Linked DNA regions of Rhinolophus ferrumequinum. The protein of the gene in region 3 interacts with the protein of the main gene of each other region in a biochemical or structural test. Links are inferred from orthologs where the notes say so. Each region holds a gene or a part of one and is shown on either strand. Other genes may lie near its edges. The genes, in order: LGALS8, RAB8A, LRRK2 and MAP2K7.

Region 1 (7,978 bases), on a different chromosome or scaffold from region 3:
TACACTGTTTCTCTTCACAGCAAAACTTCTTGAAATATTTAGTCGTTACTTCTACCACTTCACCTCTCATTTCTCAAGCCACTTCAGAGTCTGTCACAAATGACCTCAGTGTCGCTAAATCCTTCTGCTTCTTGACCTCTCAGCAGCATTTGGTACAATTGGCTGTTCTTCTTTCTTAAGTCTTTGTTTCTCTGGCTTTTATGACAGCACTCTCGTCACGTCTCCATGGCTGCCCCTTCTCAGTCTGTTTTATCGGTTTTTCTCGACTTCTCTCCCCAGGGCTCTGTCCTAGGTCACCTTCTCCATCTAGCTACTCTCCTAGGTGACCTCATCAAATGACTTCAACTCAGACCATTTTCTCCTCACCTACTATACCTTAGCCATGGTGCTCGCCTCTCTGTTCCTGAGGACACCAAGTCTTCTCAGGAGACTTAGATTGTGTTAGTTGTTCCCTCAGCCTGGAATGTTCTTCCCCAAGATCTTCATTGTCTTCCTCCTTTCTTTCATTCACCAGCAACTTAAACTTCACCTCTTTGGAGAGGTTCTCTCTGGCATCCAACTAAAGTAGCCACCCAAATGCTTCCAGTTACATCATCCAATTTTAATCTTTTCCAAACACATCACTGTCTGTCTGTATCTCCCACTGGAATGTAAGTTCCATTGAAGCAAGAACAGTCGAAACTCCCTGCCTTCGTGGAGCTTATACTTGAGTGGGTGAAGTCAAATAAAACAAAAAGTGGATTATATAGCATATTAAAATATGAGAAGTACTTGAGAAAAATAAAGCAAAGAAGAGTGGGGACTGTGAGTACGTATGTGTTTCAGGAGGGTGCTTGCAATTTTAAATATGGTGGTCAGGAAGCGCCTCACTGAGAGATGATATTTGGGGAGACTTCAAGGAGGCAAAGGAAACATCAAATGCAAAGGTTCTGGGGTGGGAGTGTGACAATATGTCCTAAGAATACCAAGGCCAGTGTGGCTGCTGCAGAATAAGGGACGCAATAGGAAACGACGTCCGAGTGTGCGGGGTGGGGGGCAGACCATGGAAGTCTTCTTGTAAGAACTTGGATCCTTCCTCAGAGAATGAACAAAAGCTAGCAGAAGGCTTTAGAGGAGGAGTAGCTGTGTGGATTAGGCTTTGTTATGGTGTCTCTAGCTGCCGATTGAGACTAGATTGCAGGGGGGCAAGGGCAAAAACACGGAGACCAATTAGGGGGCCATTGCAATACTCCAAGGAAGAGATGTGGGCCTTCCAAATATTTAGGTCTCTTTTCTGCATTTAAAAGGGTTCCGTGAGGGGCAAGTACAGTGGTCCCCCCTTATCCACGATTTCACTTTCCAGTTTCAGTTACCTGCTGTCAACTGCAGTCCAAAAATATTAAATGGAACAATTCCCGAAATAGACAATTCATAAATTTTAAATTGTGTGACATCGTGAGGAGCATGATGAAATTGCATGTTGTCTCACCTCTTTGTCTCTACCAGTCACTTAGTAGCCTTATCGGTTAACAGATGGAGTGGCTGGTGATAGCTGGGTTTGTGTTCAAGACACTCTAATTTTACTCACATAACTTTTATTACAGCATATGGTTATACTTGTTCTATTTTATTGTTGTTGGTCTCTTACTGTGCCTGGTTTATAAACTTCATTATAGGTATGTGTGTACTGGTAAAACATTGTATACTACATAGGGTTTGGCAGCGTTTGATGTTTCGGGCGTCTACGTCCCCATCTATGGCGGCACGTACCCCCCACGGGTAAGGGGGTGCTGCGGTACCACAAAGCCATTTGTATACTTGCGTTATCGCTGTACCTCGTCATGGAGGGCATTCAGTACGTATTTGATTTTAAACGATACAAAAAACATACTGAACTCACTGAACAAAATAGGGACCAATGTGGGGGTTATTTCTAAGAATAAATTCTTGGGATTTGTAATGCATCTTTTAATTCGGTATTACTTCACCAACACTGGATTTTTTGTCCCTTTGACTCAGTTCCATTTTCACTTAAATCTCACCTACCAAAGAAGTAGAATGTAGATGTGTATTCGAGAGGTACTAAGCCCAGCCTTGCCTAAACCAGCTTTGCCTGGGCTTAGTACCTAATACACATTCAATCGCTGCTCACCTCACCAACATCCTATTTCAACCTAATATTTCCAGTGTCTACTTCGTGCAAAGCATTAGTAGGCATCGGGGAATATTATGCGACAAGTTCCTCTTCTGCTTACAGTGGAGCTGTACCGATACAACACCGTGCACCGAAAGGCGAGTCCTAGTCCAGGGGAGTGTGTGTCACGGGTTAAACGGAGCCATTTAAATTGGATCCTGGAGTCGCTCAAACTTGGAAAATGAGTAGGGGGGAGAGAGAAAAGGAACAGTGCATCAGACTGTGAGTTCACTGGTACGGGATGTGTAATGAATTCCTTAAATAGAGAATAACAGAAACAATTAAGCCAGAGGAGAAAAACCCACCGCAGTGGCACCGAGACGCGTCTTTCAAAGCAAACGCGGCTAAAAGTCGAGGAGAGACAAGTAGGAACACGGGCACTTCGTGTTCCCGAACAGGAACCGCGCCGCACGCAGCCAACCGGCCACGGTGACCTGTTTGCACTGTTCTCGGACGTTCTTACAGCAACAGGTTGAACTAGCAGTGGGTGGGGGCCCTTGGCGGAGACCTCGGGTGTTTACAGAACACCTACCGCTCAGACTCGGGCTCGTGTACAACACGAAACCCCCCACAAAAGATGGGTGAGGAATGCGCAGCGGCTGCTAGTCCCAGGCGGACTAAACGGACGCGTCCCTGGGCCGGCCACAGTCCGACTGCACTGAAGCCAGGTCCCCACCATTTCACTGACACCCAGGAGGGGCCCAAAGGGGGCGCCTCCAATCAGGTTCCCTGACCGTACAGCCCGGACTCTGATCCCAGGCAGACAAGGGAGCAAGTCTGAGAAACACCGGCGACCTGGGCAACCAGGGAAGGCCAGAGACGGGCCTGTGGTCCAGGCAGGGCCTAAGCGCCCGCCTTCGGAGACCGGAGGCCCACGACAGGGGACCGCGGGGACACGCTGGCTGAGGGGCGGAAGGCTTTCTCCGTTTTTCCCAACCCTTTCCATTCGCCTCACCCAGACGAAAAGGCAGAGGCAGCCAGATCCGCCCAAGGATTTTCTTAAACAGACTCTGCCTCGTCCAGGTCAACCCGCACCGCGCTGGCTGCGATCCGAGACCCCACAGGCCGTGTGGGAGGCCGGGCGTGGTGGCGGCCGCGGCGCAGCGGGGGCGGGGCCAATGGCGACACCCGGAGCGCGAACCCGTAAATGGCGGCGGACTGACTGCTCTCACGTTCCGTAGCCGCGCACGGGCGCTGGGCCGGGAATTGGACGGCGCGCCGCAGTGGACAAATAGCCTCGGCGTGAGCGCCTGCGTTGCTGGCCCAGGTGAGTCCGCGGCGGTGGTGGGAGCGCCCGCCTGGGAGAGGGTTCGGTCGTCGCTGTCCCAAATCAGTGATGGGGGTGGGTCCATCTCCCGTCAGCCCGCCGCCTGTGGCGCGGGGGTCCCGGCCTGTTCGCCGCTTCATCTCCCTCCAGTCGAGGCCGGCGATCTGGGGAGGCTTCCACTCTGGCCATTTAAATGACAGGGTCTTAAGTTTAGCGACAGACCCCGCAGCTCTTCCGGTTCGCTCTGAGGGCGCCCTGTGAGAGGCCGAGTCACTGGACTCCCTGTTAAACGTTAGGAAACGCAGGTTATCCGAATTGCACTGTTGGTTACAACGTAACGAAGGCTTCCTGCGAGGTGGTTGATGTCCGGGACCGCGGGGCCTGTCCCTGTGGACACTCGGGGAACGACAGGCTCCTGAAGCCTGGGGCTTAAACCGGGCCCCTGGTGACCGTGTGCACTGAGTGTGGCTCTGGGTTCTCTGCGGCCTTTCCTTTGGGTCTCGTTCGTACTTATGTTGTACTAACGTGTAATTGAAGACACAGGTCGGCGTTGCATTAGGTGCTAAACTAAGAGGGATGCGGCGTTCTCTTACTCGGGACAGAGTGATGGCTCCGGTCCGCGCGTGCAGCGGGGCAGAGTCCTGACAGCGGGCGGAAGTAGCGCAGGAAGCTTAAGTTGTGTTTTTGTTTTCGTTCTCAAGCTATCCAGTCTTCTGGGGCGCTGCTCAGTGTACCGATAGGCACTTTTTAAAGAATGAAAGTATAGTGGAATACAACGTCGTGTTAGTTTCAGGTGTGCAGCGCAGAGACTCCACACCTATGTACCTTACGAAGTGATCACCGCGGTAGGTCTAATTACCATCTGCCATCGTACAGTTCGTACGATATCATTGACTGTATTTTCTATGCTGTATGTTACATCCTCGTGACTTACTTATTTTATAACTAGGAGTTTCTCTTTAAAACTGGCTGATGCTCCCCCTCCCTTTTTTTATTTTAGCCGCAGAGAAAACTGTATATTCAAGAGATTGGATTCTTTTCCCTTTGACTAGTTTAATTTGGAAGAGGAAGAGCACTCTCTTGTATTAATAATAATAGCTAAAACTTATCTATTTCATTGTTTTATTAACTCATTTAATCCTCAGCACAAACCTGTGAGATGAGTAGTAGTAGTATTCTCATTTTATACATGAGAAAAGTTAAATGAATGTCTCTGATAATTGTACAGCAGTGTTTGCTATTATTTTATTTTAGTATTTTTATTTTTTGTTTTAATATTTTAAATAAGTTCCGTGTTAGAAATTTTCTACTGATGTAATATTTAAATCAATATTTCCTTCACTATTATGCCAAATTATTTAGTATATAAGTACACTAGGGAAGATTTGGGGTCAGATCTTTCATTGTAATAGCATCTTGTCATTTGGTAAATATCAGTGAGATAATTTATAATTTAAATTTTAAAATAGTTATGATATAAAGAAAAATGATGCATTTTGTTTCCCTCTGTTTTGATTTTACACAGGACAAGTGCCTGTTTCAGTCTGGGAAGCTTTTAAACGAAACGTGATTAAAATCTTAGGTCATACACAGAAGAGAGACCCCAGTCAACAATAAGGTGGAAAAGAAGAATGTTGTCCTTAAACAACCTACAGAATGTCACCTATAACCCGGTAACATTTCTATGAAATCACTTTTTACCTGTTGCAGGATTGAGAGCAAATCCAGTTGGAAAGTAATTATCTATTGCTGGGAGTGGAGGGGCAAGAATAAAATTCAAAACATATGTAAAGCACCCACTGTGTGATAGGGACTGTGGTGGGTACTTACTAGAAAACACGGAGCCCTTGGAGCTCAGTCTAGTGGAAGACCAGGTCACAGTTACAAAGACAAGGTGATGAGAACTGTGTTTTGAGCAGAGAACGTGGGAGAACAGTGGAGGGAACGCCAACTTGGGTGGTGGTGAGAAGGTGCAGATAATGATAAGACATGATTTAAAAAAGAAAATAGATTTCTTCCTCTATAGGTGTTTAATTTTCTTTTTTAATTAGACCTGTCCATGGCTCAATTTTTCCCTCTGCCTTTCAAATACCTCATGGTACTCAAGCAGAGAAACTCGTGGTGAGATGGAAAACGAGAAAAATTACAGGTCTTGTCCTGGCTTCAGGCTGGTCCACAAACCCCTGAGTGACTGGTTGCTGGAGATTTCAGACTTGTTTCAATTTCCACGTATCTGGAGCTGAGTCCAGAATTTAGGTCTGAGGTGGAGTTGCTGCTTTTTTTTGGTAAACACTCCAGGAGACTGTTGGACAATAGGGAGGGTGAGAGTCCTTGAAGCAAGACCCTAAACCAGTCTTACTAGTGTAAATGGGTTCAATTTTTTTTATTATTTGCTTTGTGGCTGTAACTCTTTTTTTCCCCTATATTTTAATGTCATTGCAGAAGAATAAACTACGACCACCATATCAAGCAAACTCAGTTTTAGAGGAAATAGCCTTCAGTAGTAATAGGTTTAAAAAGGATGACTTGCTGAATCTGAAATCAGAGACATTTAAAATGATTTTGTGTGTCCTAGAGTTCAAAACATCTCTAGGTTGTAGACTGACTTTCTGCAGAGGTTAAAAAAATATAGGCTGCCTGCCAAGGGTGACTGAGTTGTCCCTGAGCTTGGCTCGGGTGGAGGAGGGATGGATGGCTGGGATACACCCTCCAGTTCTGCTCTGCATGCACAAAGAGGCCTTATTCCCATAAGAAATGGGAATGTTACTTAGAAAATAATTTTCTGGATTAAAATCTCTGCATGTCTTGACACTAGCATAGTGATGGTTCCTGTGATTTCTGGGGTTAGCCCCCTAAGCTGCAGAGGTGAAACAAAGGTAGGATGATGTGTGTTTCCTGGTGAATGGGACCTGGAGGATTAGCGCCGCTGCTCTCCAGAGAGCGCAGGTCCCAGGGCTCCCGGACGGCATTATTGCTCTCAGGGCAGTTCAGGAGCACAGGTCAAAGGAAATAGTTGTTTTGGCAAATAGCTTTTTTCCCCCTTCTCTGTTTTATAGTCAGTTCTTAGAAGCAGAAGAGGATAGAGGTAGAAAGACTGAACTGAATGGCAAAAATAACATTTTGATCTGTCTTTAATTTCACTTATTGTTAAATATTCATAGCATTGAGTGCCTATGTCGCACTGAAGCTCTTCTGCCATGTGTAGCGAGTTGCCCTTCCAGTGTTCAAAAGACAATGGGGAAAAAAGGAGGCTACATATAACTTGAATATTTTATCAATTAGGATATTGTGCAAGCTAGACTTAAAAACAACTGTTTTCTTGCATTATGGTTATTTTGTCAGTGATCAAACAATGGGGAGGTATTTATTGAGTTGCTACTATATTCTTTATTAAGCATTATGAAGAAACAGAACTGTCACTTAATTTTATTTCTTAATGTTTTTAAAGTTTTTGGTCATATTGGTGATAGACAAAGTCACATTCTGTCCATATGAACTCTTCTTGGAAAAGATAAAAGTAAATTGTATAACTAGCCTATGTACTTTTTTCGTATTTAATATATTTCATTGACTATTCAACTGAGAATTCTAAACCTTAAAATAGTCAGGCTCACTTTTCTTTCCATTTAAATTCAGTGAATAATTTGGAACACAATATCTTCATACCAGAAATGCCCTCTGTGAAATATATTGCTTGACAACTATCTACCTAAATATTTTAGGTGGATAGATAAATATTGTTGTTTATAGAGTTCTTAAGATGTGATTATTAGCTGGTTAAGAAGTTATTTAGAACTTGAACAAATTGGTTGTTACTCCAAGTTAATAAACCAGCTGTTAACATTAATCCCACCCAGTGCTGAAAAACTTATGCCAATTTTCTTAGGGACCTTGCTTCCTTTCTTCTTAGTATTCTAAGTACCTCCCTTGCAATTTAATCTTAAAACACAAAACAATAAAATCTTCCTTTTTAACCTCTGAGGTTCCTTACAGCCTTTGTTCGCTTGTTGTTCTTTGGCTGAACACCTTCCTGAGAGTGAATCGGTATCAGCTGCCTTGATTTTCTCACCACAGCTCTGCCCTCTGATTCTTTTTCCTTTTTCTTAAGTTTTCTTGTCTTTACCAATTTTTTCTTTCCTTCTCTCTTTCATGTCTTTACTGATCACCTTTAGACCTTTCAAATATGTTTACAATCTGAATACAGTTCTGGCCGTTCACCTCTCCAGCTCTCAGATGCCCTGCCAACCCTTTAGGACTATGAGTTCAAAACAAAACTTGCGTCTTCCTTCCCCGAACGGGCTTCCCTTTTGCAGTTTCCATTTCTGTCAGGGTCATGGTACTTCTGCCTTTAGCTTGGCAGCTCCTCCCAGGCTACCAAGCCCTCAAGAGTCTGAAGATAATCTCTCTTCAAAATTTAAAATTCATTTAGGTCAAACCCAGTGGTTTTTCATTTTTTATTTTTTAAATATAAAGATAATATATGTAAATCATTTTTAAAAAAATTCAAAGTATTTAAGGATTTCATTAAAACAAATTTT
Region 2 (7,962 bases), on a different chromosome or scaffold from region 3:
AAGAATATAAGCCTGCACTTGAATTGTGCCCACTAGGCCATAAGCTACATGAGAACAGGGACTCAAAAAGTTTTATGGCCACATATCCAGTGACTAAGCGTGGCAGGGGCTGAATACCTATTTTCTGGAAGCCAACTGCCTCATCCTGCACACACACCTTGACTACAGGCCTTGTTACAGTTCTGCTTCTCCCTGATTCATCCGAGTCATCTCTGCAGCCCCCGTACCAAGGCACACAGCGGACATCACAGAAAGATGGTTGAATGAAAGAATTAAGAGAAACGGGACCTACGTGGCGCTGCATGGTTTAAAAAGCACTTTTACCAACATCATCCGTCTCCCTGAAGGAATGAATGAATGAGGTCCTGAGGAGGTAGTGAGGGCCAAGCCAGGCTGGGGAGAACCAACTCCTGGAGCCACAGGGCCAAGTTCACACCACACACAATCAATGGAGCTTACAAAAACAGACTTTGGCAAACATAACCTGGGCAGAAAATGAAGAGCCACTTAATCCCTGATCTATAAAGAAAACCCAGAGGTATACTGAGTGCCAACAGAGACTCCCCTTTATGCATTAGGTTGTCTTTCAAAACTAAGTGGCCCAGGTCATCTCTTCCTAGAACACCTCCCATCTCATCACAGATGCAAGGCACCTATGAAATCAAGAAGCACCATTCAGTTGGCAGAGCCCCACGTCACTCGGCCCTATCCTCCTCCCGGGTTTTATTAACACACCAAATTTAATTAGGACGTGTAAACTTTATGAGACCTAAGAGTTATGAGGCCGTAACTTCAAGGTCAGGGTGAATTAAACTTTCCTAGAAGACAGAGGCCTGCAGGAAAGTTTCATGAAACCAATACAGAGTGGGTGGGAGGGATCCTGGGTTCAAGTGCCACCTCCACCTACCTAGGTGACCTTGCCCAAGTCATGGCCTCCTCTGTAAGTGGAGGCCAGCCTCCTCAGAGCCCTAGCATGCCAGCCTGGACTTTCTGGTCAAGAATCAGAAACCAAACAAAAACCCACCCTTGCACTGACCGCAGTAGTGCTTGTGCTGAACAGGAAGATCCTGACACTGGGAAAGTGAGATCTCTGTTGAGTGACCCACAGCCTGCCAGGTGTTAAGTGATTGGTGGGGGTTCAAGGGTTATCCCAAGGTTCAAGCTTGGAGCGGGGGAGGGGAAGAATCAGAAACACCTGTGCCCCAGGGAGGGACGCTATCACTACAGGAGTCACTCTGCTTCCTCTGGACGGACCCTGGCAGACAACCTTCTATTCATTGTACAGTTCTGATCCTCCACCACCTAGGGCTCTGCACAGAGCACTACTCCTAAACTAAAGAAACAAGGCTCAGAAAGGTGAAGTGATTGTTCAAGGGTGAACAGCAGCTGGAAATCAAGCAGAACAATTTTCTTTACTTTGCACCTGGCACCTGATTGTTTTGCAAAATGCAGCTCCTGAAGGAGGGCAATCAGCATTTCATCGTGGGGTTCAGGAGATGAGTTCATTGGGTTCAGGTTACACTGGGGTAAGGCAGAGCCTGTTCCCTAGAGTTTCTCCATTCAGAATCAACTCCTGGGCTTGGCAACCGTTTCCAGCTTCTCCACTGCGGAGCAAGGCTGTATAGATCAGTATTACTCTCCCAGGTCAAACCTTTTCACGTGGGCAATAGCTGTTTGTGTGGCATGAGGAGAAGTCAGATCCATTTTTGTGGCCGTCAGAACTGAAAAGCAACAAGCCAATTCTGTTCAACCACAATGTGGGCTGGCTTTGTGGGAAAGGCTGTTCTGCAAAGTGACAACCGGTGTCCTGGGCCTCATGATAGGGAAGTCTGGGCTGTCAGTGGCAGTGGCTGATTTCGGTTTCTCACTGAAGCTTTTTATCAGGCATCTCCTTGGGGATGACAGGTCCCAGGGAAGGCAGCTGTCACCTGCCAATGCTGTGACCCTTGAGTGGGATGGGAGGCAGAGCAGGGAAAGGCTCTGGACTCCCTCTCACCACTCCTTCTAGAGGAAATTCACCTATGGGGGACATAGGGTCAGGGATTAGAGACTTAACCCCTGATTATTCCTGAAGAAAGAACAGGACAGGTCTAGGTTAGAGTCCTGGCTCCAAGGTGGATCAGCTGTGCTTGTCCTGTGCTCCCACTCTCTGGGATGGCTGAGCCTTGAGTTTTGGGGTCAGGCACATATGGATTCAAATCCCATCGCTGTCACCTGAAGACTGTATGACCTTAGATAAGTCCCACGCCTCCCTGACCTTCAAATTCACCATCTGTGAGATGGGCTCACAACAGACCTAATATAGAGAACTGGAGAGTGTGATAATGCACATACAGTGCCTGGCACACAGTACATTCTCAATAAAGTCAGATGTCAGGGGTCTTTACCCACGGCCAACTCCCCATGCCTCAGTTTCACTTCTGCAAGACGGGGACCCCAAAAGAACTACTTTAAGGGCTGCTGTAAGGACAGAACAAAATGACAGACGCCAAGACCCCAGCCCAGGACATACACTCACTTAACAGGGGGCTGAGGATCGGGGCCTCAGTCTCCTCATCTGCAAAATGGGCACTTGGTTTCCCCCACATGGCCCGGGAACGCCCGAACGCTAGCGGAGGCGGCTGCTCTTCTCCCCAAGGACCCCCTCGACCCCCTCAGACCCCTGGGTCCGTCCGGCTCGGCCCCTCCCTCAGCCCCTGCCCCTCAGGGGCGCGCCCAGCCCGGGCCTCCGGAGACCCCGGCCGCTCCCCAGCCCCGCTACCTATGGTGGAGATGAAAGTGGAGTTGAAAGCGTCCTCGGAGAAGCGGAACAGGACACAGGTCTTCCCCACCCCCGAGTCCCCGATCAGCAGCAGCTTGAACAGGTAATCGTAGGTCTTCGCCATATTACACTCTCTCCCCGACGGGAAGTGCAGCCAGCGCCTCGCCACTGGCCGCTGGCCCCGTCCATCAGCGCCCAGCCCACCTCCCATTGGCTCCCGGCCCGCCGCGCGTCACCGCGGCCGACGCCCGCCACAGTGCTCCGCCCATCGCGGGGAGATCTGGGGAAGGGGCGAGCGGGGCCCGGAGCCGGAAGAGGCCCGAGAGCGCCGCTCATTGGCCGACGCTCGGGACAGGGCGGGCTACGATTGGCCAGCGGTGAGGAGTCGAGGGGCTTCAAATGAAGACCAGGATAGGGGGCGTGGCATCCCGGGTCCCCGCCTTCTTTCACCGACTCTGGGAGGCCCCGTCCCGCCCCCGAGGGGCGGGGAAGCGCGGGGAGCGGCACCAACGGTTCCGCGCGCCCGCAGCCTGGGGGCGGGGCCTGGGGCTCGTGCGCACGCGCGCCGGGGAGACCGTTAGGCGCCAGCAGAGGGCGCACGCTCGTGGGGTTGGTCTCTGGCTCCCGCCCTCTCGGCCCGCACAGGCTCAGTAGGCGCTAGGGCGAGAGGGGGAAAGTGCGATGGTTTTGGCGGTGTTTTCTGGGGCCTCCACGTCAGGCCTGGATAAGCCGAAGAGGAAAGGATTGAAGAGAGATCGTCACAGTCGAAGCGAGGGCCCCCGAGACGTGCTCCGGGATCCCAGCTCTGGCCAGGGGACCTATTCAGAGATCCCCAGGCCTTCGCCACCTGAGCGCGCTAGGACAACTCACGACATGCCCTCGGCCCTAATTAGAGGTTGTCCAGACCGCTTTTTGCCTTCAGTTCTTCCCCTGGAGCCTGCCCACCCCAACCCAGTCAGCCCTCGGAGGTCCAGAACCCGCCGAGGGATTTAGAATGAGAATTACAGGTATATTGAGGAACACTGGTTCTGTGTCCACCAGTGGTGTCAACACTTAATACCAAAATATTTCATCGCCACCCCAACCCCCTGTGGGGTAGGTATTGCTGTTTAACCACGTTTTATGGTGAGAAAACCGAGGCCACAGAGGCTAAGTGACTTTCTCGGACCCCGAAGTGGGAAGTTGGGTTTTGAATTCAGACCGGGAAGCTTCAGAGGCCAAGTTCTTGATCACTAGGGTTTCCTGCTTCTCAGAGATGGGCCAAACCCTCATTGTGGGCCATCAGAGCCGGAGGATCTTCCGAGATGGCCCCAGGGCGCCCCGACCTTGCATTTCAGCTCATTCTATTAATGTTTCCAAAAAGCTTCGTCCAGAGCCATGGACACCTTGTAGGCTTTACCGACCCCCTCCCCCACACCCCCACCCCTGCCCCCCGTATTTGATGCTATTGAACACCTCTGGCAATTCCTTTTCTTGGCACTCCTCCATTTTAATTGCCTGTTTACCAGCTACGTCCACCTCCCTTTCTCTGGCTGCTGCTTCTCAGATTCCCTTGCAGTCTTTGGGGGTGGCGGGGGTTACTGATTGTCCCCTAGATGTCCATGTTCCTCACGGTTCTTCCTATCTGTTCCCACTTTCTGAGTGATCTTACTTCCTGTGGCTTCTAGTGAAACCACACTGGTGATTTTCACTTCTTAGAGAATCCATCGCCCGCCCAGCCATCCCTCAATGTCTAACTTTCTTGATATCTGCCTTTGGATTTGTCAAAGATACTTCAAATTCATCATGTCCACAACTGAGCTCGACTGTCTTCTACTCACACTTAGCTTGTCCCGAATTACCTTCTTACTGAAATAAGTTGTCTTTGAGCCTTTTCTTTCATCCCTCACATCCTGGTTCTGAAGGAGGTTCTAAATAGCTCTTGGATCTTGCTTTTCTATTTCCATCACCCATGAGATCATCACCTCTCTCCATTGGTTTCCCCGATCATTCTCTAATCCAGATTCCACCCTGCAGTGTGCCCATTCTAAAGCACTTACCCAATGTCCATCCATGGTCTACGGGCAGGATAAAGTCCTCACAACCTAGTCCTAACCTCATCTGCTGTTCCACCCACACTTCATGGGCCTGGGAACTCCAAAAGAGCGGAGACAGGGCAGTTGAATAAACACTGAATATTTGTGTTAATTGCCGGGCCACAAGGATGACTAACACAATTTCCTGAGATTAGATTACAGCCCAAGGGGGTGGGTAGGAGGGAGAAAGAACTTCACCTTAGTAATGATGGTAAGGCACTTGTTTGACATTCTCAACTACCATCTAAACGAGCTCAGTGTCAGCTAAGTGTTGAATAGCAGGAAATGTTTTCAGTTGTACTTGGTAACAAAAAATTGTTTGCATACTGCATCAGTGTTTTCAAGGCTTTCATTTCTCTTTTTGATTCCCTACCCGCCTGTCCCAATATCAGATCTTGAGGCAAATACCAAAGCAAGTCAGGTAGTGAAACTGCAGTCACCTTTGACACTTTTAAGTTCTGTACCATTCAGTCAGCTAAATCGTAAGATTACTTCTTGCAGATCACTTCTTCCTTCTGATTTCACGGCCAACGCTTCCCTGGATTAATGGAAACATCTTCCTCACTGGTTTTCCTGCCACTAGTTTCCCTCCATTCTATTAAGAGCCCTTCCTGAAAATGAATGCTAAGTGGGTTTTCCTAATGTCAGGGGCTTTCTACTCCTGACCAAATTAAGGTTCTTATCAATGTGGATTTCTTTCCTTTATATACTCAACACACAGAAGACCGTACCCAGGCAGGCCTATGCTTTCCTGACTCAAGCAACAGGGACCATCTTTCCTGCTCCTATCTCATCTATTAAAACCTTCCTCATTCTTCACAGCCTGGCTCAGCAGGACTGGGGAATAACAAAGGACAGGAGCTTTTGAGTTACTGAGGCAAAGTGTTCTCACCTGTAATAAAGAGATCACAATCCTCACATCATGAAGTTGTGGTATACAGCCAATAAATAAAATTTGCTAAGTTTGTGGCAGTTATCTCCGCATCCCATGCATTCAATGAACCAAAATGCCTTCTATGTCTCGACGCATTCTAAAAGTCACACAAATTATAGTTTATGTAAAAATTTATTTGACCAAAATGTAGAAAAAGTGATACTACGTATTACATATGATACAGCTGCAAGAATCTAAATGAAAAGTGTGGGTTCTATTCAATTGCACAATTTGCTAGTGTATCTCCTGGGTAGTGTGATGTGTAATAAATAGGAGTGAGGGGCAGAGGAGTCGGATAAGCTAGAAGCAGGGTGGTTTTTAGTCAGAATTGTAAACTGGCCCCCCCCACTGCTGGGGAATATGGAATGTTTCAGCTCTGAGATGTTAACCGAGAAAGCGAGAATGTAACAAAGCTAACATGTGCAGCCCTGTCTACAAAATACTCCATATCCAGTTTAATCAGGAGTTTCCTGGTCTTTTATTAACTTGGTCCTGAAGAAGGAATTAAAATCTTAGACACGTAAATCTTCAATGTACCATTCCCTAAAGTACAGAAGAGATGAAGTTAGGCCAGTTACTTTATCTCTGCTGCCAGAGAGGCCTTTTCTGACCAATATTTATTAATAGAAAAATGCTTTTGCTAAATTATTGATGGTGACTAGTCTTTTTGATATAGTCCCATGAACAGTACTAAATTCTACCATATTCATTCCTGCTGAGTGGATGGCTTCTTATCAGAGTATTATGACTATTTCCCCAGCATTCTCATGCTGACTGCTCAGAAGATGTTTGTTCTGCATGGTAGAATGTGGAAAAAAGCCAGGGTGAGTAGGTTAATCTATCTGTGGTTTATGACTTCCCACAACAGCACCGCCCCCTTTTTGCTCTGGAAGGAAAACCCCCACCCATTTTCATGTGATGGTCCCCGGCCTCCTGTAGTGTGTCCACTGGTGGCTCAGAGGTTCTATTCTTCAGCCTTTTAAATTGACCAGTGACTAGATATTGGACTCTGTGTTTTGAAAGTGTGGTATTGTCTAATCTCCTGGGAACCAAATGCCCTCAGTCTTAAGAGACTATGTTCAATAGGAAACACCCTGCCTACCTTAGTGATAAATGCAATTTAAGGATAAAAATAGAGCTGAAAAAGCTGGTGCCATTTGGGAAAAAAAAAAAAAGGAAGGAATTAGATTTAACTGGTGCTCAAAGCTTCTCTGATACAAAATATTTGGTCACGTATTCATAATTTGCTTGACATTTCCAGCAAAGCGCAGATGCAGTAACAAAGGAAACTTCTTACAAGAGAAGAGAAAGACACGGAGGTCTGGAGCTTCTGTTGGAACAACTCTTCTGTTTTGGTTATATACAATTAAGTTCATTTAGTGTCTGATCCAGTGTCTGATGTAAGCCCACATTCTCTTCTTTGGCCTGGGCAAGTTTTTCTGGTGAGAATTAAATAAAAGAGTGGGAGAAAAATAAATTAATAAGCACATTTGTTAAAGGGCAAAAAGGTTTTCTAAACTCCTCACTGCCAGAGCAAATCATAGCAGAGAAAGTACTTTGCATCTTAATTATAAAAGAACACGATGGAATACTAGAGATCAAGTACAAAATTTGGGAGTCAGATAGGATAGCAGGATAAAATACAGGGTGTTCATTAAATTTGAATTTCAGATAAATAAAATTTTAGTATGGTAGATATATCCCAAATGCTGTATGAGATAAGCCAAAAAATTATTCAGTGCCTATCTGAAATTCAAATTTAACCAGGCGTCCTGTATTTTAATATGCTAAATCTGGCAATACTGGTTTTAGAGACAGAACACCTAGATTTAAGCCCCAGCTGTGCTGCTGAAGTAAGCCATTGAACCTTTCTAGGTCTCAGTTTCCTCATCTGTCAAATGGAGATAACAATACCAATGTGTGGTATGGGGGCTATTATGAGAAATGAGAAATGCTTCAGGACTTATGAAGTGCTATACAAACATAAGATTTCAGTCCTAGATATGGGTGACTTAATACAGTTTCCCCTTAGTGCCAGCTAATTAGTCCCTGAGCTTTGGGGAGGAAAATACAATCCTGTAACCCATCTTTCCTTTGGTGCTTCTGGGAATGGCTGTTGAAATCCCAGGTGTAATTGTGTTACCGTGTCTGTGTCCATAGCAATGTAGTCAGACCCCAGGTAAACGCAAAAT
Region 3 (7,343 bases):
TTTCACTTTATTATATTATAATTAGTCTGTAAACTCAAGGATCTAATTAATGCACAATGGGATAGAGTGTAGGGATTAAAGAAAAATTTAGTCACCTTCATTTATTTCACTCCCTTCAAAGGTTGAACTGTGTGGGTAAAAAGAAGTAATGTAAAATTGAAGAGCACAGAGAAATGGTCAGATGACTGGAAGGAAAAAAACAAAGTATTAGGACAGCTAGCCTAACTACCAACCTCTAAAGATTGTCATTTATTAAGGAGCATGAATAAAATATGAAAAGACCTTGAAAATAAAAATTCAGAGTCTGGACTATCATGTTAAGTGAATTCTGGAAACAAACCTTAATATTTACTTTCGATTACGAGTCTTTCATTTAACACTTTCAGCTAATTCAACATGTAAAGAACAAAAGGATATCTATATTAATTACACCAGTAATATGAAGAAATTTGAAGGAAAAAAAACACTTTCTTTTAAGTGAAGTATTAAAATATCAGTGAGAGACCCATCTGTACAGCCCTTTGATAAGACCAATGATAATTAAAATTGATAATGTCACTGTACCTAGCATAACCACAATATTGGTACCAAACCACTGTGTTTTTACTTTCACGAAAAGCATGTGAATTCAGCAGGTAGTGGATTGTAAGATGGAAAGAAATTTTGAACGTATGTGCTGGCTCTATCAGTAGCTCTGTGATTCTAAATGAGCTACTTACTCTGAGGAAAAAATATACAGTGAGATTTCTGACAGGTCAGTGAGATTCCAGTGAGAATGAAATGATGTAACATACATAATGCCCTTGGCAAACTAATACACATATGGTGCTGAAACGAATAATTCTATTCCATTAAATGACTAAATCAGAAGACAAGTCCTTAGTTTCTTCCATACTTTGTCTCTGGTAACCCCTGGGCAAGGATATTGAGTGATATTCATAACTACTCCAGACAAACATGCCCAAGCTTGCACAGTTCTGAAAATGAAGAATTAGGTGGTGAGTATGTTCCAAGCTCCTTGGGTTCTGACATCTAGCACTGCCCTCTTTGGATCCTGCAGATCAAAGCCCACTCAGGGTCCAATTGTTCTGAGTGGCACCCAGCAGGGGTGACTCTACCAAGCATAGAATCCAAGGATGCTGTCAGACAAGGACTTTTGAACACCCGAGGCAAGTAAGCAGGGACGATGTGGATGGAAAGCACAGTGGACCAGTGCTAAAAAGTGACTCATATTTCATGGGCAAAATTCAGACTTTGGGTGCTAAAAAGGACAGTGTCTTTATCATGCTTCCATCTTTTCGGTTTTGTATGCTAACAACCGGAAAATCAAGTCAGATGGGAAATACTTCAGTTGAAAAAAATAAAAGTAACCATTTATCCCAGATATAAATATCCTCATATAAAACAGGCTAAGTATATGGTTCACCCAGATTAGACACAGCTGATACAGAGATAATCATAAAGGTAAAGGTAGATAGACACAGATTTAGAGATCCAAATAACTCTTACATCTGTCTAGTAGGTATTAAAACATTGGCTTTCTGACTGCACCTCAGTGGAGTTCAAAGTTCAATTATCTTTCCCTTCAGGACCTTACAGACAAATGACAAAACTGATTTCAGTTCTCTAAATCTCAAAACCTACAAAAGAAGTTAACACGTTAGGCAGTAATGCTGTTTTGACTGTAAATCATCCTTAATTATCTTGTTAGGCCTCCTTTTTCGATATATCGAATGTATTTAGCAAATTTATGGGTTTCCTGTGGTGAAGACTCTAAGTTTCACTTCTAGATTCACATGATATGAAAAAGGTTGAAAATATCGACTTATAGGGGAATCATAAATCACTTTCTTTAGCTAATACAAGATATACTACAACTAAAGAAGGCTAGAATCTATCTTCAAATTAAAAAAAAAAACCTAACCCTATGAAAGTTTGTAAGTTACTTCATTTTATTCATTGATTATTAATTTTATTACTGTTAATTATTCCCCTTTCGCAAACTATTCACAATGGTGTCATCTCTAGGGCATGCTGTACATTCGGAAGATTCTTAGAACAATTTGAGTTAAACACTGATGAACTTAAGTAGCCAATAACAGAACTCAACTTCACTCCATTATTATTCCCCTTACCACCATCCATATTCAGTCAATTGTATAAAGTTACTTCTTAAAGACAATTAGGGAGCACACAGTGGACCCTTTTACACCAGTTATCTTTTGACAATGATTTGACAACGCTTCCATCTTAAAATCACAGTCATTGATATGTCAAGCCAAATCTCAGAACTAACCCAGAGCTCTGGGCATATAACATTGACATAAAAGTATTTCCAAAGAAAAGGGGAAATGGGAGAAATGAAAACAACTCCTTTACCTGCTGCACACTAGCCACCCTCATATACGAGTCCAAGACGAACAGCAGAGGCACGTGGATATTTTTGCCTTGAAATAACTTGGAGGCTGGAAAAGAAGGGGGTGGGGGAAAAGAAGCCAAGTCACGGTTCACAGCACCCGTTAAGTATGAAAAAGGGGGAGAGAGCAAAAGAAGTGAGCGCAATACCTTCCGAGAATTCTCAGCTCCTTTTTGCCCTAAGGAGTAGAGTTTGTGGCTTCCCAAGGGTCCACGTTTGCGCAAAGTGTAGGGGAGACAGTTTGCAAAAGAGGCGGGGGGAGGGAGTGTAATAAAGGAACAGTTTCCTCGCAAATGATTACCGTGGTCAGCGTAGGTGAACAGCAGCATGTCCTCCAGAATTTGGACCAGTGTCTCTATCTGTTTTCCTTCCTGGACATTGTTCAGCCTGACTATCAACTTCTTCAAAGTTTCTTCGTCCTCCTCCTCGCACCCCTGACAGCTGCCACTGGCCATGATGGACCCTGCTCCCAACAGGCCGCCCCTCCCGCACCAAGGCCGTCTGCTCAGGGAAGGGGCAGCGGCGCGGGTCACTGCTCCCGAGGAGAGCACGGCTCACAGCCGGCAGCCCGTGCTACCCGCCCGCCCCATCCGCACCCACGCCCGCCTGTTTATGAGGAAGGCGGCGGCTCCCCACCCGGCGCTGTCCTGCCAGCCCTGAGCCCTCCTCCTCTGCTTCCTCTTGCCCAACCCAGGCCCAAAAAATGAGCTCAGGGGCCTGAGAGAGGCTCGCCAGGGCAAGGCGCTGTGCAGAACCTTAGCGGGCAGCAGGGACGCAGCTTGAGCGGGGCCTGGCCGAGGTGACCGTGACCGTGATCCCCGGGCGGGCCCCGACAGACCGGATCCCACCCGCCGGGGCGGTCCGGCCGGGAATCGTGCAAGAAGAAACCGACTCAGGGGACTCGGCGGACTCCCCAGGCCCGGAGCCCAGCAGCGGCTGGAGGAGGAGTGCAATCTGCAACCTAGCCGGTCACCCGCTGCGAGCCGCCGGCCTGAGCGCCCTCAGTCCCGCAGAAGGTCTGGAAACTAGGAAGAGGAAAAATGAAAGCCGCCTCCTATCTCCAGATCTAAGAATAGAAATCTGGGCGTTGGGAAAAGAGGACACCGCCCAGTTGGCCCCTTTTTGGAAAACATTCTCTTTATAGAGTTCCCCCTATGGGGAGATGAGTAATTTCCCCTCAAGGATGGAAAGAGATTTTTGTAATCAAAGTACGGCTATCTAAATACTTTTCTATGATTGTTGTGGCCGTTTGTAAAGGAGGAAATAATTTTTTTTCTTTATTAATTATCTGAAGCTCTGTTGGCCAAAAGGCCACCAAATAAACTTTTGAAAATTTGAGTTTGCACTCAGTAGGATCCTGATAATTGGGGCACAAGAGAAACACAGGGTAAATTGAAAGGAAAAGGTGAAACCAGAAAAGGTGAAAGACAGCAATCAAGGCATTGTTCTCTTGGCATTCAAAATTACTTATGATTATGAGCATCTATAAACCTAACGTTAAAAAAACAAAAAACAGTACCAAAGTAATGTGTTTTTCACAAAGAGAAATCTACCAGGAAACACTGGAGACAAGGCTAAACAAAGACCATCTACTGCCTTTAGATGATTTGTGCTGGGCGTCATTGACAAAGGAGAGGACTGAACTGAAAGTTTTAATATTTCACAATTTTGAATGGTTTGTTTTCAATTCTGTTACCTCATCCTGAGGACAATTCTGAAATGGATAAGACAGCCACTTATCCTTCTTTTACTAACAGGGAAATTGAGATTTAGAGCTGATAAGAGAAGAGCGTTGTTGGACTCACCGATAGGAAGTTGAGGGCCATCACTTAAACCCAGGTAGGTCTCCTAAAGCCCAGTTATAGGATCTTTGCACTTTACCATTTTAATCAAGATGAGCTAGGCTTCCTTAATACACTAGATTAGTAAAATTGCAGATTCAAATTCAACCTGAATGTTGTGAATGTGCTTTGTTGTCATAAAGACTTTTTGTCTTTTATAGACAAATGCTGAAATATTTGCAGTTGGAATGACAGAATGGTTAGGATTTGCTTCAAAGGAATCCAGTGGTGGGGAACAGTGTGAAATGGGAGGACGTAGAGATGAGACAATACCAACTTTCGAATTGATGATTGTCAAAGACACGCAATGACTTCATGTGGTCTATAGTACTATTTCTTCTGTGTAAGATTTCCCATAATGAAAACAAAACAAAAAACTCTCAACTTTGTCATCTTTATCATACCTGCAGTATGTCCTTTCCTAACTGGTTTCTGAACATGTTTCAACTTCGGACTAAACCAATCAGTATCTCAAGCATTCCTAAGGATTCTCCATTTCATGCTTTCCTTCCCATTCCCCTGCATCAGTTTCTCCTTCCCAGTCTACTGGATTATTATCTTGCAAAATATCAAAACCTAGCTTCCTTCCCAAGAAAACTAAATAAAAAGGTGTGTCTTCTTTTCCTCAATTCCTTCCTCCATCTATTGCCTAGTTATTGCCTACTCTATGTTAGCCAGAATAGCGGTCGGCGATGTGGGAACATGAATTCCCTGCTGGGAGTATTCTCCCACAGGACTGCAGAGGTAGGGCAAAGTACCCTTTTAGCTTTCACAAATGCTTAATTGATTAACTAAAATCCAAGACTTATTAACTCTTCAGATAATTAACATGACTGAAAAGGAAGGCTAACAAGCACAAATTCATGATAGAGGTAGTGTTCAGTGGAGAATAAAATGGTGTCGGAACATTTGGCCAACTTCCTGAGAAGAAAAAAGTAAAATGGACATTGATAATTACAGCAGACACCAAAACAAATTCCAGATGGATTAAAAAGTTAAATGAAAATAACTTTTAAAAGAACATATATAGATTAATAGTTTGGTATGAGGAAACAGAATGCCCTGTGCACTTTGCTATAGCGGAAAAAAAAAGAAGGAAAGGGAAAAACCATAGCTTTCAAATGTAGAACTAACCATGAGAGAGTGACTGCGCTTCTCCAGTGTGTGTTACTTCTTCATACTTCTCACTCAAGTGCATTATGTAAACATCCTGGGTGAACGTAAAGCCGTTTTCCTCAGCATTCAGCAATGATTATGTAGAGCAGGAAGGATTTCTTGCCACAGTTAGGTGGGTACACAGGAAATAAAAGGAGACAAAATTTAGTGAGCACCTCAGAATCCTACTTTATGCAAGACATTTTACATGTATAATTTGTTTAACCTCAACAACCCTAAGAGGCAGCTATTATTCCTATTTTTCAAGAAATAGTGTTAGAGAAGTTATAAATTACCTAAGAGTCGGAGCTGAGATTCAAACACATAACTGTATCACTCAGACAATTCTCATCAGGAAGGACTGGGCCATGTAAAGGCATCACTTTGTGGAGACAGAAAGAGAAAGCACCCAACGATGTGGCAAGTCTGAGGCCCAGATCAATTGCAGTGGTTACTAGAATTTGCTTTGGTTAAGAGCATAATGAAACTTCAGATAAGAGTCTCTTTAACTCATGACTTAAAAACAACAACATGAGAAGTCTTGTTCTAAAAACTGAGAACTACACATGGATTCCTACACAGTTAATTTGCACATCATAAAATGCAATCCACATTTTGTTGGCCACACCAGACTGGGGATCCATGGAGACTCACAGCCAACACAGCAGTTCTCAGGAGCTGTCAGCTCCTGCTCTGGGCCAACGTCAGGCCCTCATGTTCTTCCAAACATGCCTGAAGTTCCCAGGATGTATATCACATGTGCTTCCTCTCTCCCTACCCCCCAAAGTATTCTTTGGCTACCGAGTAGAAACTAGCTTTATTTTTTTTCTGCTCTGCATTGATTAGATTATCAGCCCCATGATACTCCATAAGTTTTTCTCACTACTTTATCCTTAGAGTTTCGACAACTTGTGAATTCATGCAGATAGTCAATAAATATTTGTGAATGGGGGATTGCCCATGTTTCTGCCACAGCAAAAGCAAGGTGACTACTGCTGACTAAATGACTGAAGGCATTGCTGCCTAAACCAGAGAGACCACCTCCAGTCCCTCCCAAGCAGCAGGCCGGTCCTTTTATTGTGGCCAAATTCTGCTGACACCAAAGTTGTTGATGCCCTCTGTATGCAATAACTGCCCCCAAAATGATGGTACTGAGATAGTGATTTTAGCTTTTATTAACCTGTTTTCTGCAGTCTTCTTGTTTTATGCCTCAGGTTAAAGGACAATCTACATGACATATACTGTGCTGTTCTCAGAAACACTTCACCTCTGAATTTTGTCCTACGATCTTTAAAATAAACCTGCCTCCATAGTTCCTTTTTCCTCTTAGAATACCCATTCTTAAGCTTTTTAAAAAGATCTTTATTAAAATATAGCTAACACACAATATTATATTAGTTTCAGATGTACACCATAGTTATTCAACAGTTACATACCTAAAGAAGTGATCACTATAATAAGTCCAACCACCACATGATACTATGCCATACAATCACAATATTATTGACTACATTCCCTATGCTGCACATTACATCCCCATGACTTATTTGTTTTATACTTAGAAATTTGGACCTCTTACTCCCTTCAACATTTTATTCCCTTTTTTAAATTTTTCAATTATAATTGACATTCAGTACTATTTTATATTAATTTCAGGCGTACAATATAGTGGTTAGACATTTATATAATTTAAGTGACTGGTCTAGTACCCACCTGGCACTATACATAGTTATAACCATATTATTGACTATATTCTCTATGCTTTACTTTATATCCCCATGACTATTTTGTAACTACCAATTTGTACTTCTTAATCCCTTCACCTTTTTCATCCACCCTTTTCAGCCCCTTCCCATCTGACAACCATCAAAATGTTATCCATATGTATGAGTTTGTTTCTGTTCGGTTTGTTTATTTTGTTCCTTAGATTC
Region 4 (7,552 bases), on a different chromosome or scaffold from region 3:
AGAGGACATGGGGGCTGTCAGGAGCCACAGCTGTACCAGGCTGTCAGTCAGCAGGGGTGTGCGCACACACACACACACACACACACACACACACAGGCATGGCACTAACCCCCATACACATGCAGATGGGCAGATAATAGACCACGGAGCCCCCAACACCATCTTACACACACACACACACACACACACACACACACTTACACACATTCAACTGCCTAATATCCCACTTACACACAAGGACCAACAGGACCAGACAGACCCCAGCCCGGTCTCTCACACACCACCGACCCAATGCATGGGCACACCCCACATACATCCACTCCAGCCAGACCCGCTGGCACCTGTACTCAGGCCTTGGCAGGGCTGTGCACATGCTCCCCGCCCCTCCCACAAGACACTGCTCAAACCCCACCTTCTCCAGAGGCTTCCCCCAACAGTCCCCCTACAGAACCCCCAAGCCTGCTCTCCTCTGCTTTCCCCAGTACTTGTCGCCTTCTCCAGTTCTCCCCAGTCAGGAGGCGCTCACTATTCTCACCCCTTCAACTCCTAGTGGGGCATCAGCTGCACAGCGGGACTTGGTCGGTTCTGTTCACTGCTGTATCCCGAGCCTAAAACAGGTACAGCACCCAGGGGCCAAGACGTGTCCCCTGAATTACTGAAATGGATAAACAGGCACAGCCAACATGCTGGCCCCCCTTTCTCTCCCTCTTACTTCTACACACTCACGCACGCACACACACGCACATGCATGACCCCCTCACAGGTGACAGACTCCCAGTCAATGAGGGAGCCCAGGTCCTCCACCAGGGGGTCCAAACCTGCACCCAAGAGACAGAGAGGAGAGAGGACACAGGAAGAGGCCAGGTGGGCCTGATGTTGACCGTAGGGAAAGAGAAAGTGAGGGAGTGAGAGGGACAGTGAGTGAGGAGATGCGCACGCACGCAGGGGCGCTCACACACACAGAGCACGGGGGGAGGGGGATGGCATTCTGCGGCTAGGGCAGCGGTTAGGTCAACGGTGCAGATGTCCAAGCGGCGATGATAAAAAGGCTGGTACCTGCTCGTTGGGACGGGGCAGGAGCAGGGCTTAGAGTGATCACAATAACTGGATGGGGAAAAGGAAGAAAAAAAACAACACCACGATAAATCACAACAGAAACAACCGATTTGTCCAAAAGAAAAGAAATCAAATCATAACGAGGAGGAGGGGGGAGGCACGAGGCACCAAACTGCAGAGATGGGTGGAAACCGACAGATGGGAGGACCGGCAGGAGGGGATGGAGCTGACGCTGACACACACAGATGCCTGCAGGGGGCTCCTCGGGGGCCTGCCCGCCTTGGGTCTTGCCGTGCCTTGCTCTGCACCTGGGACAGCCACCCCTGTAGGCACCCGACGCCCCGTACCCAGCGCTGTCTTGTCCATCCTGGAGCTTAGTAGAAACCCTCCAGTCCTGGCTGGGTTCCTACCCCAGGGAGTGTCCAACGCCAGCATTACCGCCTTGGGGCTTTCTCTGGGCCCCCAAAAGACCCCTCAGTGAGGCACCCACACTGACCCACGTCAGAAGAGAGATGGGGAGTGGACCCTACACACAAGACGGCGGCGGGGGCGAGGAAAGGCTGTGAAGGTCAGGCCAGGTGAGTAGGGGGTGGTTGGGGAGTACCCAGATACAGGGATGTCTTCCCCTCCTGTCAGGATGACCCCACAGGAGCTACGTAAGTGTCATGGGGGTGCTGTTCTTCAAGTCTGTGGGCAGCGGGAAATCTGATGCCCTCCAGCTGAGAGGAGTTGGGTTCTATGGGACATAACAAGGATCCTACATGTGGTCATGGTGATCCCAGGGGGGACAGCTCTTGATTCCAGATGACAAGATGACAGGAAGGTAGGTGCTGAGATGGTGGAATTAGAGGGGAGGCGTATGTGTGCTGGGATGCTAGATACCACCATATGGGCCTCAGGTGTCCCCAGGCTGGGTGGGTAGGGGTATGTGGGGAAAAGGAAGTCACTTGAGCCCAAACGACAAAGTCTCCAGGTTGGGGGCTGAGTGTGTGTTTTTGAGGGGCCAGACACATTCACCAAGATGGTGGCAGTGAAACTGATCAGGGAGTGAAGGGGACCTGGTACATGTATGTGAGTAGAATGTGTGCGGGAGGGGGGCTGCTGGGCTCAAAGACAAGAGCCCACGACGGAGAAGGGATCACCAGACACAGTCACAAGGAGTGGGAGAATCGTCTTGGTCAGAGGGATAAGGGGGGTTACGTGTGCTCAAGTGACCTGAGGTGTCCCCCGGACAAGTGTGAGTGAACCATCCCTTGAACCCGGATGACAAGGACCCAGGCGTGGAGTGGGGGTAGGTAGGGGCCTCTTGACACAGTCACCGAGATAACGGGAGCGGAACCATCTGGTCAAAAGGGATGTGTATGTGCTTGCGGAGGACGTGGATTTGGTCACGGCCGATTGGATTGGGTAGGGGGAGCACGGCTCACAATAGGTGACAGAGACTCCGAGGATCACGATGATGGGGGCGGGTCATCAGGTGGGGTCCTCGCCTGGAGCCAGGTAACTAGGTTCCCAGGCTCCGTCAGGGGGAATCACCCAGGCCGGGTGAGAGCCGCCCGGGAGCTTGCCAGCACCCCGCCCCCCGGGTTGCCGTGACCCTCGCGCCGCGAGACGACAGCGGGGAGGGGGGAACGGACCGGAGAAGCAAGAGCGTCCCGGAAGCGGGGGCGGGGCCTGGCGGCGGGGGCGGGGCTTCCCGCGGCGAGCGCCCCGCCCCACCCGCCCCCTCCCCCATGCCGCCGTGCTTACTGGGCCTGGGCCGCTGGGGGCTGATATCCAGGTTGAGGTCGATCCTCCGCCGGGCCTCGCGGTTCTCTTGCTTCAGCTTTGCTTCCAGGCGGGACAGCTTCTGCTCCAGGGAGGACGCCGCCATCTTCCCCGCCGCCGCCGCCGCCGCCGCCGCGCACCGCCCGGCCGACCGTCAGCCCGGCAGACAAACACCGCACTGCGCCTGCGCCCGGATGACCCCGCCGAGCCGCCGTTTCGCCCCGCACCGCGCATGCCCGTGTTGCGCACCCGCCCTTCCCTCGTGCGAACCCCCGCGCGTGCGTCCCTCGTCCCAGCCCGAGGGATGACACCACCTAGAGTTAGTGGCTGGCAACGTGCAACGTCTCCGCCGTGATGCGCACGCGCGAGTTTCCCGAACTCAGTGGTGAACGGCGCTGTGTGGAAACTACAATCACCGTTCTGCAGAGAGCGGTGGGCGGGGAAAGGCGGGCACGCTTAGAGGAGAGGAGGTCTCGCGCGTGGCGTCTGCTGCGCACGCGCATGCCCGGCGGCTCGTGCTTGGGGACTTGGGGAGGTTGGTCGCCTCAGCCTTCTTTTTGCTCTTCCTGACTGGCCCTTTTTTGGCACCCACGCCCTCTCAGAACTGCCTTTCTCGCCTGGGACATGGTCCATTAGGATCTCTGTTATGCTTAATTGTTGCCTCCTCACCGTAATTAGGCACCCTTGCCATTTCAGCAAGCTCAGGGTTAGCCAAGGACAAGTGAGAGAGGCGGGGTAGGTCTAGAGCTACTGTCCACCGGCATGACCTCTGACCTCGGCGACCGGGACCAACGTCAGTGCTGGAGAGTTCCAGGTCAGACTGGCGTGGGACAGTGTCAGGCTTTCCCTGTCTGCCCTGCCCCCAGAATGTGAACCCAGCTCCTGGACAATGCAAAAGACTGGCCCTGGGGTTCGGCGGCTCTGCCTGGTGTCCCTGTAGCCTAAATATTCCTTTGGTCTGAAGGGTGCTGGGGAAATGTCCCCATCTGGAATCCTGGGTCCATGGAGAGCAGCTTGCCTCTGCTCTTGGGTGCCAGGCGGAAGATTGCATCCTGCAGATACCTTGGAGGGGGCCAGGCCCAGGTCAGGTTCAGGCAGGCTGTGCCTAGTGCCCTGCCCACTCCTGGTCCAGCCGAGGGGATCCCTCTGATGAAGACTTATGGGGGGAGCAGATACAAAAGTATGGAATCAGGAGGATAACACGGAAAGTAGAAGAAAAGGGGTTCCCCAGGGAAAACCTAGGCAGAAGACGCCACCTCATTTTTCCTGATTAGCCGAGGGCGCCTCCTTACCCCCTTCTCCGCCTCTGACCCAGGACAGAGACTCATACCCTTGACTGTGGCACATGTCACCACTTGCCTGGAAGTGGTCTGGTGAAACGGAAAGCTTAGTGACAGGCGTGGACACGAGATCGGAATGATGGTTCTCATCATTAGGACTGTTTATTAAGCACCCACTGACACATGCTTCCTCACACAGGGAACATTCCAGAGACAAAGTCCCTGCCTGTCCTCAGAGCAGTGTACCCTCCACAGCCGGTGTTCTTAACTTGGTGTCTGCCGGCCTTAGGACATCCGTCAGTAGCCCTCTGGGGGAGCTGGGGGAATCTGTTGACGACCTGAAGTTGTAGGCAGAATTGTGCATGAATGTGTACACGAGCATTTTCCTGAAGAAGGAGGTGCCCAGCTTTCATCAGATTCTCGAAGGGCCTAGGGACCTAAAAAGGGTTCAGAATCCCTGCTATATATATCCAGATATCTCCCAACATACAGGCCTAGGACCACCTTCGTCAGAATGAGCTGGAATGTTTATTTACAGGCAAATTCCTGGCCTCCAGCCAAAGCTTCTGAGTCAGTCTTTCAGGGGTGGGGCCTGGGGTGTTTGTTTTGGAAATGTTGATTTTGATGCATAGCCAACTAAGAGGCCCATGTTTCTGAGTTCACGTGTCCATGGGAATCAACTTATAAATAAGGGATTAACATCCAAGTGAGGGCAGTGTGCACTGGCCCCTTGTGTCTGTATCCCCTCCTTGGGGCAGGGAAGGATTGAAATTTTACTGGGATGTGTCTTCACCCCTTTTGTTGTACTGATTGAACTAGAATGTCCAGGGGAAGGGCAGCAGTCTGGCCCAGGGCTGGGGGCAGGCCAGCCAGCCAAAGACAGGTGTGGTTTTGGTCTGTGAATTCCATGACTTAGTTAATCCCTCCATGACATTCTACCCCAAATCCACAGACTCCCGTCTCCCCAGACAAACCAGTCCCAGGATCTTGCCTGGGCCCCACAGACTGACATGTCTGCTCCTCTCCTGGCCTGGGCCCACCTGGCCACCTCCCTTGAAGACATTGGTAGATTTGGGGACAGAAATACCCAGAAGGCCTCTACCGCAACATGCCCCTCCCTGGCTTTACTCCTCTTCCATCTTCTCCCGAACCTCTGCTGGCAAGCCTTCATAAAGAGTGTCCTCCACCAGGAGGCCCGCCTTCTTGAGCCCCCTACAGTTGCCCAGTTCTTCCGGCAGTATCTCCAACCGGTTGCCATTGAGCTCCAGGCGGCTGAGGGCACTGAGGGCCCCCACCTGAGGTGACAGATATCTCAGGTGGTTATAGCCCAGGAGCAACGTCCGCAGCTTGCCACAGAAGAAGAGCTCGTCGGGCAGGTCCTCCAGAGCATTGTAGGAGAGAGCCAGGTGCTGCAGGTTCTGAAGGAGACCCAGCTCCGGTGGCAGGGAGTGCAGCCCGTTGTGGGAGACATCCAACAGGCGGAGGCCAGAGCACATGCCCAGCTGGGTGGGCAGGGTCTCCAGCTTGTTGTGGCTGAGGTAGAGCTGCTCGAGGACCCGGAGCTTACGCACGTGCTCGGGGACATAGGCAATCTGGTTGTGCCATAGCCTGAGCGTGACCAGCTTGCGACAGTGCTGGAAGCTGAGGATCTCCTCAATGGACCGCAGGTGGTTGTCCTTGAGGTCAAGTTCCTGCAGCGCACCCAGGCTGAAGACAGCGTGAGGGATGCGCTCCAGCCCACAGGCCACCAGCTCCAGCTCCCGCAGCACCGCCAGCTTCTTGAGGCTGTTCAGTGCCAGCAGGCGGGCCCCGTCATTGTGCAGGCTAAGACGCTGCAGGTGGCCGGCCACGTCGGTCACACTGGCTGGGACCTTGCCAGCATTGCTCCGCAGAGACAGCACCTTGAGCTGCTTCAGCTCACGGAGGCTCTCGAGAGTGGCCGCCCGAGCCAGCTCTGGAGGAAAGAGCCCCTCAAGGTGCAGCTCCTCCAGGCCACGCAGTCCGAACACCCAGAGGGGCACCTCACGGAGCTCCTCGCACTTGACACGGATGACCTTCAAGCGGTCCCGCAGGAAGATCTGTGAGGAGAAGGGCAGCCTGGCGGGTGAGTGGAGCAGGCTGAGCTCCTGCAGGTGCACCAGCTGCGACAGGCCCGGAGGGAATGTGATATCACTGATGGCCTCCAGCCGGAGCGCCTCCACCTCGCTGAGCTCGAAGACGGTGTCAGGCAGTCCTGGAAGCATGCAGAGGGCCAGCTCCAGCCGGCCCTTGGCGTTGCGCTGCAGCTTCTGCCGAAGCTTCTCGGGCGTCCACTCGTGGTTGAGGTTGAGCTGCTTCAGACGGCTCTCGCTGACCTCAGAGAGGAAGACGGCAAAGCGCTTGGAGTAGAGCGGGTCGTACTGGTCGATGAGGTGCAGCATGAAGGCAAAGTCGTTCTTGACATCGGGGATGTCACCCATGCCAGTCTCCTCCCGCACGGAACGGAAGGAGTACTCCTTGAGGGGCCGGTGGAAAAGCCAGTAGAGCGTATAGAGGCAGGTGACCCCGTATACACACACGAATGAGATGTAGCAGAAAGCCAGCTTGGAGAAGAGGTGGGCCTTGGTGTGGTTGCAGCAGAAGCTGGCATAGCCCGTGAACCTGGAGGTCTCCACCGTGCAGGTCACCACGAAGCTGATCTTCTCCACATAGATGAGGTTGTAGACCAGGATGGCAACGAACTTGCAGACTTTGAGCACCATCTGCCGGATGTACATGGTGTATAAAATGTCCCCCTCTTCCACATGCACACGGAACTTCTTGACCTTCTCAAACAGGGCTTTGGCCTGCTCGCCCTCCTTCTTGTCCAACAGAGTGACGGCTGGTGGCTCAGTCACCACCTTCTCAGGCTCTGCCAGCACCTTTTCCTTCTCACCCTCCCCTGCCTTCCCTGGCCCTGCCTGGGCTTCCATGGTTGCTGTTGCTCGTCCAGCAGCATGGCCCTTACGGTTCTCCCCGGAGACCTCGGAAAGGGCCCGTGTGGTCCACGGTGAGTCGAAACATTTGCCTAGGATGGAGGTGAAGTGCTCGATCTTGGAGCTGGTGCCAGGGAACTTGAACCAGAAGCTGGTGCAGACCATGAAGATGAGTGTGTGAATGACAACCAGGTAGGGGAAGTACTTGGGGTACCAGTGGAGGGCCTCCTCGTAGCAGAGCTGGTTAATGAAGCTGTACTGCTGTAGGTCCAGGTTGTTCCTGAGGCCGTTCACCTCCTGGAGACCCCCCATGTGCTCGGAGACCCCCTGCAGCAGCAGCTGCTGACACGGGGCCTCGGACAAGTTCTCCCGGGATTCATGACTGGGCAGACAGATGATCTTGTCCTGTGTCACCTGGGAGTGGGGGGATTGGGAGAGAAGTAGGCTGAGGTGGAAAGCCCCAATCTGACTGGCCCCCGCTAGCTGTGACTTTGG

What was found.
Region 1: the proteins of LRRK2 (region 3) and LGALS8 form a complex in vitro, tested with the Homo sapiens proteins (2 studies listed by BioGRID and IntAct, with this or other methods). The link is inferred for Rhinolophus ferrumequinum from reciprocal best matches to the Homo sapiens genes LRRK2 and LGALS8.
Region 2: of the proteins of LRRK2 (region 3) and RAB8A, one has a biochemical effect on the other in vitro, tested with the Homo sapiens proteins (2 studies listed by IntAct). The link is inferred for Rhinolophus ferrumequinum from reciprocal best matches to the Homo sapiens genes LRRK2 and RAB8A.
Region 4: of the proteins of LRRK2 (region 3) and MAP2K7, one has a biochemical effect on the other in vitro, tested with the Homo sapiens proteins (2 studies listed by BioGRID). The link is inferred for Rhinolophus ferrumequinum from reciprocal best matches to the Homo sapiens genes LRRK2 and MAP2K7.

What each region holds. Positions count from the first base shown.
Region 1 is NC_046310.1:21,961,417-21,969,394, reverse strand, and holds the start of LGALS8 (galectin-8), read left to right. Parts: upstream 1-4,974; 5' UTR 4,975-5,071; coding exon 5,072-5,113; intron 5,114-7,978.
Region 2 is NC_046301.1:49,741,598-49,749,559, reverse strand, and holds the start of RAB8A (ras-related protein Rab-8A), read right to left. Parts: upstream 3,010-7,962; 5' UTR 2,973-3,009; coding exon 2,762-2,972; intron 1-2,761. Other genes in the region: TPM4 (tropomyosin alpha-4 chain), read right to left, coding at 7,127-7,209. UniProt on the Homo sapiens protein: The small GTPases Rab are key regulators of intracellular membrane trafficking, from the formation of transport vesicles to their fusion with membranes.
Region 3 is NC_046293.1:43,684,012-43,691,354, reverse strand, and holds the start of LRRK2 (leucine-rich repeat serine/threonine-protein kinase 2), read right to left. Parts: upstream 3,005-7,343; 5' UTR 2,872-3,004; coding exon 2,718-2,871; intron 2,466-2,717; coding exon 2,380-2,465; intron 1-2,379. UniProt on the Homo sapiens protein: Serine/threonine-protein kinase which phosphorylates a broad range of proteins involved in multiple processes such as neuronal plasticity, innate immunity, autophagy, and vesicle trafficking.
Region 4 is NC_046301.1:56,872,718-56,880,269, reverse strand, and holds the start of MAP2K7 (dual specificity mitogen-activated protein kinase kinase 7), read right to left. Parts: upstream 3,004-7,552; 5' UTR 2,930-3,003; coding exon 2,806-2,929; intron 1,105-2,805; coding exon 1,057-1,104; intron 1-1,056. Other genes in the region: volume-regulated anion channel subunit LRRC8E, read right to left, coding at 5,228-7,471. UniProt on the Homo sapiens protein: Dual specificity protein kinase which acts as an essential component of the MAP kinase signal transduction pathway. Essential component of the stress-activated protein kinase/c-Jun N-terminal kinase (SAP/JNK) signaling pathway.